Arabidopsis thaliana: one gene and its partners. The protein of the gene in region 1 interacts with the protein of each later gene in a pairwise test. Each region holds a gene or a part of one and is shown on either strand. Other genes may lie near its edges.

The links.
Region 2: the proteins of WRKY24 (region 1) and PDE337 interact in a two-hybrid assay, tested with the Arabidopsis thaliana proteins (2 studies listed by BioGRID).
Region 3: the proteins of WRKY24 (region 1) and AT2G22880 interact in a two-hybrid assay, tested with the Arabidopsis thaliana proteins (2 studies listed by BioGRID).

What each region holds. Positions count from the first base shown.
Region 1 is NC_003076.8:16,622,345-16,626,640, reverse strand, and holds WRKY24 (WRKY DNA-binding protein 24), read right to left. Parts: upstream 2,485-4,296; 5' UTR 2,422-2,484; coding exon 2,069-2,421; intron 1,139-2,068; coding exon 952-1,138; 3' UTR 664-951; downstream 1-663. Other genes in the region: AT5G41580 (RING/U-box superfamily protein), read left to right, coding at 1-78; AT5G41560 (DET1 complexing ubiquitin ligase), read left to right, coding at 4,022-4,105. UniProt on the Arabidopsis thaliana protein: Transcription factor. Interacts specifically with the W box (5'-(T)TGAC[CT]-3'), a frequently occurring elicitor-responsive cis-acting element.
Region 2 is NC_003070.9:25,660,854-25,664,248, reverse strand, and holds PDE337 (VQ motif-containing protein), read left to right. Parts: upstream 1-1,972; 5' UTR 1,973-2,069; coding exon 2,070-2,528; 3' UTR 2,529-2,762; downstream 2,763-3,395.
Region 3 is NC_003071.7:9,740,596-9,743,583, forward strand, and holds AT2G22880 (VQ motif-containing protein), read right to left. Parts: upstream 869-2,988; coding exon 524-868; downstream 1-523. Other genes in the region: EMB2001 (P-loop containing nucleoside triphosphate hydrolases superfamily protein), read left to right, coding at 1-29, 117-326; AT2G22890 (Kua-ubiquitin conjugating enzyme hybrid localization domain-containing protein), read right to left, coding at 1,905-2,744.

The DNA of each region.
Region 1 (4,296 bases):
GAGACAGTTTTAGGAAACCGAAACCATCCGGTGCCCGCTCCTCCTGGCATTGTTAGGCCTACTGGACCGACATCTTGATGGAGAACTTGAGAGGCTAGAACAAGGGGAAGTTGGTACTTAGGAGTTAGGACACAACACTTAACATAATAAATTAGTAACTTTATCACTTTCCCACGCCATGAACAGAGTTTAGGATTCCGGTGCGCAAGTCGTATTCTGTTTATGAGGGATTAGTTTGTATTTAGCTTGCTGTTAACTTGTAATGACGATCAAACTATAAGTGTTATCAATTACTCTTGTACCCAATAAGTTCCCTTAGTTTTCTGAACTGGTTTTTTTTTGCCCAGAACTAGTTTGAGTTAGTTAGGTTTTGGATGCAAAGTGTTTTGGTTTTCTTGTGTAAGACATTTATGCATAAAGGACCATAATACATACTTTGGCCGGTTTAGTGATGAATTTTGGGATTTGAAAGAGTAATCACAAACAAAAATCGACAACGTATCATCTTTCAAATGTCTTCCGGTTGATTATTTGTACAAGTTTTCTCTCTCTCTGAAGCATGTTTTTCTTCTTTAGAATTCTCTAGTTACCAAATGTCTGGACCCTAACTTCTCTCTGTTAAGTATGTAGAAAAATATCAAAGAAGTTGTAGAGAATGAGGGTGGGTTTAATGAAGTTAGAGGAAACTACCTTTTCATACTTACATATGTAACTAAACTTGTTTTGTCTGGTATTTGTCAAATCATCGGCGTAAACCGATCATAAACCAGAAATCAGGGGATAAAATTCAGAAACATTTGTAAAAAGTCGTAACTGTTACATTGGTTTAAAATCTGATCTACACACTTGTGACTTGTCACTTGGGAGATGTGGGTCGTCAAACGGTCAGTGGGGTGATTAACACCTTAATCACCTTTAAGTAATTACACCATTAATTAAGCCATTATATATTCAAAGATTAGAGAAACTGGAGAGGAACTGGAGTTGCCTGAGAAGAGGATTAAGAGTCTCCATGAGCTTCTCACAAGGATGGTTATGAACGCCTTCGTAGGTCGTTACGACGACGTTTGGATCTTTTGCCAATCTCTGCACTTGTTTCTTCACGTTGCATGTGTGGTACGTACATCTGTAATAGCTCCTGCATTTTGTGACACAAGATTAATAGTTTCATCTATTAATTCTTCAAATTTTTTTTTATAATTCATATGAAAAATAAGTAGAAGTTTTGGGTGTCTATGCAAGACTGATTTTAATTTCTATGAAGTCTCATGAAACTATTTTTTTTTTCTATTTTTTGCTAAGAACGTAAATATCATATAAAATGAAGTAGAATTGGATTTATCTCTGCTTTTGATTCCCTAGCAAAAAGGAATAAAAAACAAGGAAGCAAATTAAATTACTTTTCATCTGGATGAAGTTTTCATATATATATGAGCCATAAGCCCATAAGAAACTATATATTTTATACTGATCTAGAACTAATTAAGATCATTTTCTTGACCAGAATATTGATGGATACATTATACATATTTGAGTAAATCATCCCTTTCCAAACAATTTCATACTCGGATGTGGTAGCACATAAAGAGAATCCCTATATCAGGTTTATACATGTTTCTAAGATTATATAATTGCACAATAATTAACTATATTATAGGATAATCAAATTATCAGAAAAGAAAACTATAGGATAATCCTTTTTTAAAAATCACATCTATTCTCATGCTTTGTTTTCGAAAATTATCATCACATCATAAATTTTCGAAAAGTACGTACGACAGATTTCGTTATAGGCTTTAGTAAGGGATTGATTTCGTTATATAACTATTACTAGCTAAACCTAAAAACTATGGTATTTTTGCAACTAAAAGATACATTTTCTACATATATCAGTTTAATGTTAAACACAAGACTAGATCGTACTGGTTGTTAAGCTAACCTAATGTTTTGTAGCCACGAAAGTTTTTGGTCGATCCAATATTTGGAAATCAATTTTAATATGATGTCATAGATTCACGAATAAAATTATAAATACTCTTAATTAATACAACTATATAGGTAAAAGTACCTGGGATGAGCATTGTGCTTGACAGATTTCTGCCCATATTTTCGCCAACGATAACCATCATCAAGAACATCATCATCGCTCCTCGTATGAAACGCAATCCTTGGAACTTTCCTCGATCTCTTCTCTTTCAGCTCCTTCCCTTTCTCACCTATTTGATCATTCTCAGGTGGTAATGGCGGCGCATGCACATGAAAGCTTTCTGGATACCAAGAAGAAGAAGATGAAGGTTCCACTTCACCGGAAAATGTTGATGGAGGCATCATCATTAGGGTTTTGTCTACAAAGGAAGAGAAGGTGTTGTTGTTTTCGACATCTAGGCGGCTTAACATAGGATTTATGTCTTCTCTGTCCATTGTTATAAGTCTCTTTCTTTCTCTATCTCTCACAATATTTATAGATGTGTAATGATAGATTGTGAAGAAAAAAGAAGGAGAAGAAGAAGAAGTAAGGGTAAAAGGGCATTGAGGCCAACTAAGTTCACCTAATTTTCTGTTCAACTGCTTTTTACCTCCATTTAGTTTCCTTGTGTTATTAAACTTTTATTATTATCTCCCTCATTTTTCCTATCTCTTTTTTTCTTCTTTTTCTTCTTTTTTATATGAGAGATTTGTATTGGCTTGGTCTAATATGTCGACATGTGGTTATATTTCAATAAATATTTACTACTCGAATATACGTACCTAAATATCTTTAAGTAATTAGTATTAATTAGTGTTTTTAGTCATACCTCACATGTATATGTTAATTAAAAGTTTCATAGATCATCAATTGTACTTGATTCAACTATATATTTTAAGTGACTTTTGTTTTTGTTTTTCTTTCGAACACACATGATATACTGTACGATCATATACTAGTAAACCATTGAATCCTATCAATTTAATTGAACTTATAGTGGAAAGGTGTAGTAGACATTGCATACATACATCATAAAACGTATGTTCAGGTTGAATTTAGAGTCAAAATCAATGTAACTTGGTAAAATGCTAAGTAGAATGATTTAGTTTCCTTGTTTTTTTTATGTATCTCATACAATTCAAGTGGCGTGGCTCTAAATTTAATACGGATAAGCGACTAATTCAACATAAACATGTTATTATGGTTGTAGTGGTTAAGAATCTTATTTGACCCCCAAAATAAATCAAGCCTTTTAACTCTATAAACACGTGGAAGTTTCCTTTGACCTATAATGAATGCTACATATGTAAAAAACCAACATTAATCTCACTGAAAGACATATATGCGAAGAAGAGAGTGCATGTGTTTTTCTTTCTTCCTCATCTTTTTCAGACTCTTTCTTAAGGAAAAAAACAGTGAAATTACACAATTGAAAGATAAATATTTTCAGTTTCGATGGTCATCGAAGGAAGATGGAATTTTATTAATTCATATTTATGAATGAAAGTGAATTGAGATCAAAATATAAAAAAAAATTAATCAATTTGACTAGTCTAGAAAACAATTTTGGAGAATACTTACGAAATCAAATTCACTTATCGATTCTATAAAAATATAACACTCCAACATAAACCATCCGCAGATTCCATAATTTTATTTTCACTCGCACAAATTTGAAAATAATTTCTTAATAGATTATATCTTGAACCGATTAACTCAAATACGTTTACTAAAAAAATTTCAACACAAATTATAGAATCAAAAAGTGAACCTTGTTGATATAGGCACTTAATTAATTTTCTTGAAATATTCCTATGAACCATAATTGTTTATTCATATTTTTTTTTTCTTTTTTTGTAAATAAATTGTTTCTTTATTCATATTCATATATAAAAAACAGAATCTCTATTGTTATTTAGAGAAACATTAATTTGAAGCTGGTTCTAGAGGTAGGCCCAATGGGCCCATAAACCCTTTTTCGTTTCTCCCTTTTATATCTCTCGTCTCTCTCTCTCTCTGTCTGAAGAGAAGGAAAGATCATCAATCACGATTCCAATGGCGTCGATTCTGGGTGATTTGCCTTCCTTTGATCCTCACAATTTCAGTCAACATCGTCCCTCCGATCCTTCTAATCCCTCTGTTAGTTTCTTCCCCCAAATTCAATTTTTCAATTTTACGGATCTGAGTTAGGCTTTACTTGGTCGTATTGGAAAAAAAATGTGTCCTTTGTTGATTCAAAGAGATGTAATTCGAATGTGTATCTGGGTTTTGCTGCTTACTTGGTCAGTTCCAAAAAGTTCCATCTTTTCAATTATCATCGAGTTTGCTGT
Region 2 (3,395 bases), on another chromosome or scaffold:
CAACGAACAGACAAAAAAAACAAACAGTAGATGGGAGAGATCCGAGGTGTGTAAGAAATATTGAAATAAAGGCCAAATTTTATTGAAAATTGAATCGGTCCTTCAAGTAGTAGTATTAATTTATTTGAGTTTTTCTTTCCCGACGCATAATAATTTGGTTCCATTAAATATGACAGTGCCTAAACAATAACAATAGGCAGAGTTAGATCCAAATGTTAGCTACATGATGCAATAGTACGCGTGCGGTGGTGTGTTTACGCGTGATCCTATAATCTCGAGGTCTCAGCTTTTCCAATTTAAAATTCTATATAAGTTTTGGCTTGTGACTTGTTGCTCGGGCTTTCATCCGTACAAATGTGTTTACTTCATCTTACCTGATGATATTTGGGCTCATTTTTGGGCTTACCAGGATTACTGATAGCATCTGGACCAGATTTTTTCTTTCTTTCTTAATTTCTAGTTAGAACCCATAAGGAAATATTTGTGTGTTACAAGCTAACATGTGGTGTTGCACAAGATTTTGTTGGTGCATATTGTGCATCAAATGGAGATTCTAGTTAAAACTCACTAGAAAAATTGAATGAAAACTGCTAAAAAAAACGAAAAAAAAAAAAAAATTACAATCTAAGCTAAGGAAAAAGGACTACAAGAGTGGTTTTGGGGTTGGATTAAGTTTTTTATTTGTTTTCGATTCTCTGGGTATGGTAAGCCCTTTGAATAAGATGATAAGTGTGAGTTATATCATGCTGGTGAAAGTATATTATAATCTATGTATGTACCAACTAGTAGTTGCTAATAGGTCTTTAACGGATCGATGAGGACAAAGAGGCTGACTTTGTAAGTCTTGTGACTCTTGTTATTTCACAAAACTATTTTGGTTTAACAACATTGATACAAAACAAAAACAAAAAAACTATTTTGGTTTAGTAATGGAAAGTTTAATATGTACAAAAAGGCTTTTGACTTTTGATAAACAATAAGTGTTTTACAAGTTGTGTTCGATTTCTCATCGGACATGGAGTATTATAGTTAATTAAGCGGACAAAAAAACAAATATATTTTGTATACTTGTAGTTAGGAAACTGTGTTAAATAGCCCGAGCTACTTGTTAGTTGTTGCAATCATTGAACGTATCGATGATTGTTAGCCGAAACTCGTACATCTTTTTTTCTCGAAGAAAAGAAGTTTCATACATTTTTTCATTACAGAACATTTATCTTCTTTTCAAGCAAAAATTCAGAGTAGGAGGATATTGATATTCACATACAAGAAGCTCAATTAGCCGATTCTGTCTAAAAATAGGTACGTAAGATTTTAAATTGCCCAATTGCAAAAGAAATATCGTCTGTTGTTTATTTATTTCAACAGGGTGAATTAATGTATATATACAAGAAAACAATGTCCATGATATAATTTATAATACCCAGCAATTTGGGGATAACAAATAGATTAATGGTTTCAGCTGCCTGTAAGTAGGTTTAATTATTTATTTTATACTTTTAAAAGCCGATAGTTTTGAACATTTTCATAAATTTCTTATTACGTAAAAGGAGAGAAGTAAATCCATTTCAACCATCTGCAGCCAACCTTGCATGGTCACAGCCAGTAATATTCAAAGATGACCAAATATGAAGACATCTCCACCAAAATAATATTGCAATTTATTTCTGAAATAACTAAAATCGCTTGAACTATATTTTAAATTTTTGAAGAAGTGGAAAAGTTGCAAAGGGGAATGCTTGCAATTTCATATAAAAAAAGAGCAATTCAAGATTTTCGGCCCTTGAGTTTTTGATGTGTTAGAAATTAATAATCAACAGGATATACCTGAGGCATGTTATAATACTATTCAACGACAACGGCCGTTTTACTATAAAACTGTAATCGTAAATAAATAAAGTCAACGGTCAGAATCGTTGGCTGCAATAAAATACGATTTATTTAGTTTTAACCATACTTACACGCAAATGTAATTCTACATATATACGTATTATATCAACAAGAACTCTGTTTATTTTCAAAGCTTTCTTGATCTTTCATTCTCCATTCTCTTGATATATTCACCTACCATGATTCCAACAAGATGCAATGAGATCAACGGCTCACGTCCTTCGTCGCTAAAACTCGCCGGAGAATCCCACACCATCAAGAAAACGTCGTCTTGCAAGTCGAAGCCACGACCACATGGACGGGCATCTCCGGTTATCATCTACGCGCATTCTCCAAAAGTGATCCACACGCGTGCCGAAGACTTCATGGCCCTGGTTCAAAGGCTGACGGGTCTAGACGAGATTATTAGACGGAACACTAGTGAATCTTCCTCTTCTGTTGTGACGGAAGAGGTTAACGTCGGGGATGATAACACGGCGGCTCCGTTTAGTCAGGATAGAACACAACGACAGAAGTTAACTGATATGCCGTTGTTCACACCGAGCTCGATGACCTTGTTTGGTTCTCCAACTCAACTTATGTATATGTCACCGAACCGGACCGATTCATTTCGACCCTTGGTTTTTAAGTCCGAATAAGACTTCTTAGCAAAAAAAAAAAAAAGTTCCAATAAGACTTCCCATAAAATATGCTTTTATGATTTCTATTTTATATGTATACAATTGGTTTGTTCATTCGTTCGTTCATAAGTTGTTTCACTGTGATTAGTTGGTGTAAATGTCACTTAACTTTACAAACTAAAAACAATGTCACTTAATATCTGTATTTGGTTGTTTTAAACATGAAAGTTAAGGGTTTACCTGTTCTTTTTACATAAATTATTCCATAAATCTCAGCGACAACGTGTGGGCTTCAACAAAATATTTGAAGACCAGAAATGCATTATTGGGCTTCGCATTAAAATGAGCTTCAAGCTCATCTTAGAAAGTTTTTCTAATGACGGTCTATGTGCCATCTTAACAATTCTTTGAGGAAGTTTTATAACTAGAAAAAATGTAAAACTGAAGGTGGAGATGAGTATTAGTTATTTTTATTGATTTCTAGTAGCCTCCCCAAAGTAAAACAGTAGTAGAAATTTTGGAAACATTAAAACCAAGTAGAAAAAACTGGAAACTAATGGCATACAATTAAATAAATTGTGTTTTATTTTGTTAAGTGTAGCATGTTCACCTCAACAAATTGATAGTTCATCTGAAACTGAGACCATCAGGAGAGGCTAAAAAAAGAGTCCTTTTCTTGATATAATTTTGTTATAGACCTTTAGGGCCCTCTTCCTGAGCCCAAATAACTTATTAAAACATATTTATCTCTATATTTGTCATATATAGATCCTAGGCCCGTTATCAACATGCCATGTTGACAAAAAAAAAAAAAAAAAATCATTCATGCCACTATGTTTTTTCCCCCCACTATGTAATCATGATATTGATTTCCTCATCTACTTA
Region 3 (2,988 bases), on another chromosome or scaffold:
ATTGTGCTAATTGGCTTGGTCGCAACAATGTATGTGGTACCAATTCTGGCTTTTGTGTGTTCAGTGAAATGTTGCTTTGAGGACTTGTTAAATGACGTTTTTCGATGATTTTTCAGGTACCGATGACTTTCGTGTTTACGAAATGCGATAAAATGAAAGCAACGAAAGGGAAAAGACCTGATGAGAACATTAAAGCTTTCCAACAAATCATTAGAGAGAATTTTAAAGTACATCCTCCTTGGATTTTGACGAGTAGTGTATCTGGTTTAGGCAGAGACGAGCTTCTTCTTCACATGTCGCAGCTGAGAAACTACTGGGATCAATAGGTAGCGCGTAAATTTCGTAAACAAATGTTCGAAAAGGTCGGTTTTGAATCATTGGTTATATCAAATTGTAGTTTTGTAATGTAACAGTAACTTTTGTATTTAAAGATAAGATCATAAAGTGTTACTACTACAGTTCTAATTCTGATGAAACAAATTCATGAATTGCCGAAAAATTGGCAAGAATAGCTTCTTTCTTGCTACCATCTTGATAGATTAGCAGGACTAAGCAGAGGGAAAGCTTCCCAGAACCGAGATGACGAAGGTGAAAGATCAAACGCGAACGGATTATCCTTAGCTGTTGTTGTATCATCAGAAATCTTGACTGGTTTAGCTTCAACTTGATGTACCTCTTGCTCAACGTCTTCTGCACCAGTTAGCCTCTGAACTAACTCCTTGAAGTTAACAGGCTCGACTCTGTAAACTTTAGGATGCATCCTCTGAGGCAAGCCCGTTACGGGTTTTTTCCATGGCTTTGCCGGTTGCTTACGGGTCGAATGAAGTGAGGAGTTATGAGAGAAACATGGTTGTGAAGTAGCTTCCATGACGATCAGAAGTTTCTGTAATACACAAATGATTTGAAGCGAAGTGTCTTACCTTGATGGCTTTGTGTGTACACATATAAGTATTTATAAGTGTGTGGACGGCATTATTATGTCAACGTTTTGAAGCGTGTAAGTCATTTTGGGTTTTATGATCTTCTTTTGCGGCTTACTTGGTTTTTGACTTTTAAGTGAAATGAATGGGAACGAGATGGGATGATTCATGGAATTGAAATGTCAACGTGGGTGTGCTAACTATTTTTATTTTCTTGTTTATTTAAATGTTAGGTGAAAAGCAATGAGTACATTTTTGGATTAACGTAGTTTTTGTTAAAAAATAATCTAGATGACATGGCAACGGTGTCATTAGTAACATGGCATTCATGTCATCATTATCATCAAATATGTGGTATCTAACGTCAGCAGAATATATAATTTTGCATATAATTTGATAAATTAGGTATGTAATTTAATTTTATTTAAAAGATTAAGTATATATTAACGCATAAGAAATTATTAGATATAAATTAAACATTTGAACTTTGGTTGGGTGGTATGAAATAAGGTTGTGCCTTAATTAGTTACCTTCCGTTAGGATCCTGAAAACTGTTTAGGTCCACAACTACACAATATAACAAGCAAACAAAACTTTTGCTTCCGAGTGTCAGAGTAAAAGCAATAATGTAAAGAGATATCTCGATAAGTGATGAGACTCAATTATCCGCATAGAAAAAAAAAATATGTATAACGGAGAAAGATATCCTATCTACAAACCTTGAATATCACTTTCCATACAATGCAAACATTTTAGAAATTGTTACATTTACCCAAAAATGATATATTAAACTTATCAAATCTATCACAATTGTGATCTACATGTTTTTAAGTAAAAGAAAACATTTGGTTTTTGACATATTATATCTTAAACTAAATATAAATTAATCTCGAAGCCGCGGCTAAAAAATCGAGTTTTTCCCACTTAAAGCGAAGAATATAGCTAAAAGTGACGGCTAACATTTGGATATGTCGGTTTCTTCCGTCATTCGTAGTTTGGCTCGGTCCATGACCTCGGTCTCACCCCAAGTTGGATATACAACACCATCTCCATTGCCTTAAAGACATTGCTTTCATCCAAAACCTTGTTCCACACCCCACTCACTACGCAGTAATTGTTGTTATACGGTGCTCGGTGATGATTCATGTGATGTATCCGTGAAACAAGAAGCCCAATGTCTTGCAACCCAACCACAAGAGGTGGAAGCTTGCTCTTCGTTCCATGAGCCCAAGCATGGAACAACTGACAAAACAATACACAAAATGCAAACATGCTTACAAAGCCATGAACCACATGGTCATCAAAAGCAAGGTCTAGTGGGAGAACTATCAAGGTTGTGCCTCGAGCCATAAAATGTAGATTGTTTGCAAATTGCCGTTTGGTGATTGTCCATGGACACTTGTGATGATCTTGAGAGTCTTCGATATGGATTCCTACTAGAGGCGTAGACTCATCACCGTAGTTATCGGTGGCCCAGTGGTACACACCAGAACCTAGATCTGCTAAGATATACCCGGCGAAACCGGCTAAAGATGGTTCGAGCCAGAGATGAGAACCAAATGCTCCAATGATTGATTTGGAAAAAGAGACAAACACGGTGGTGCAGCCAGCTGCAACCCATAACCGGTGAGTCCATGTAGATTGTAGAGTTGGGTCGTTGGAGAGAGGAGGATTCACAAGTCGTTGCTCAACAACAAGCTTCATCTCATGGTTAGGCTGAGAGTTGGTGGTGGAAGTGACACGGAGAAACGATGGACGGTGGCTTCTTGGGATGTTGTTTGTGATGGGATTTAGAGTGTATTTGGTTTGAAGAGATGTAGCCATTGAAGCAGAGTATGTGATGTCTGAAAAGATATATCAAGTTTCTTGTTTTTTTTTCCAAAGCTAAATAAAACAAGGATATGTTTTTTTTTGTGACAGGATAAAAAAATCATTTAAAAGAGATAATTTTGACCAAAGAAAGTAAGAGAGTATTGAGATAATAACATTCAAAGAAAATCTCAAAAAATTTGGATTAATTTATGAAGTTACCAACTAAAACCTAACATTAAAAAGTATTATTAAACCC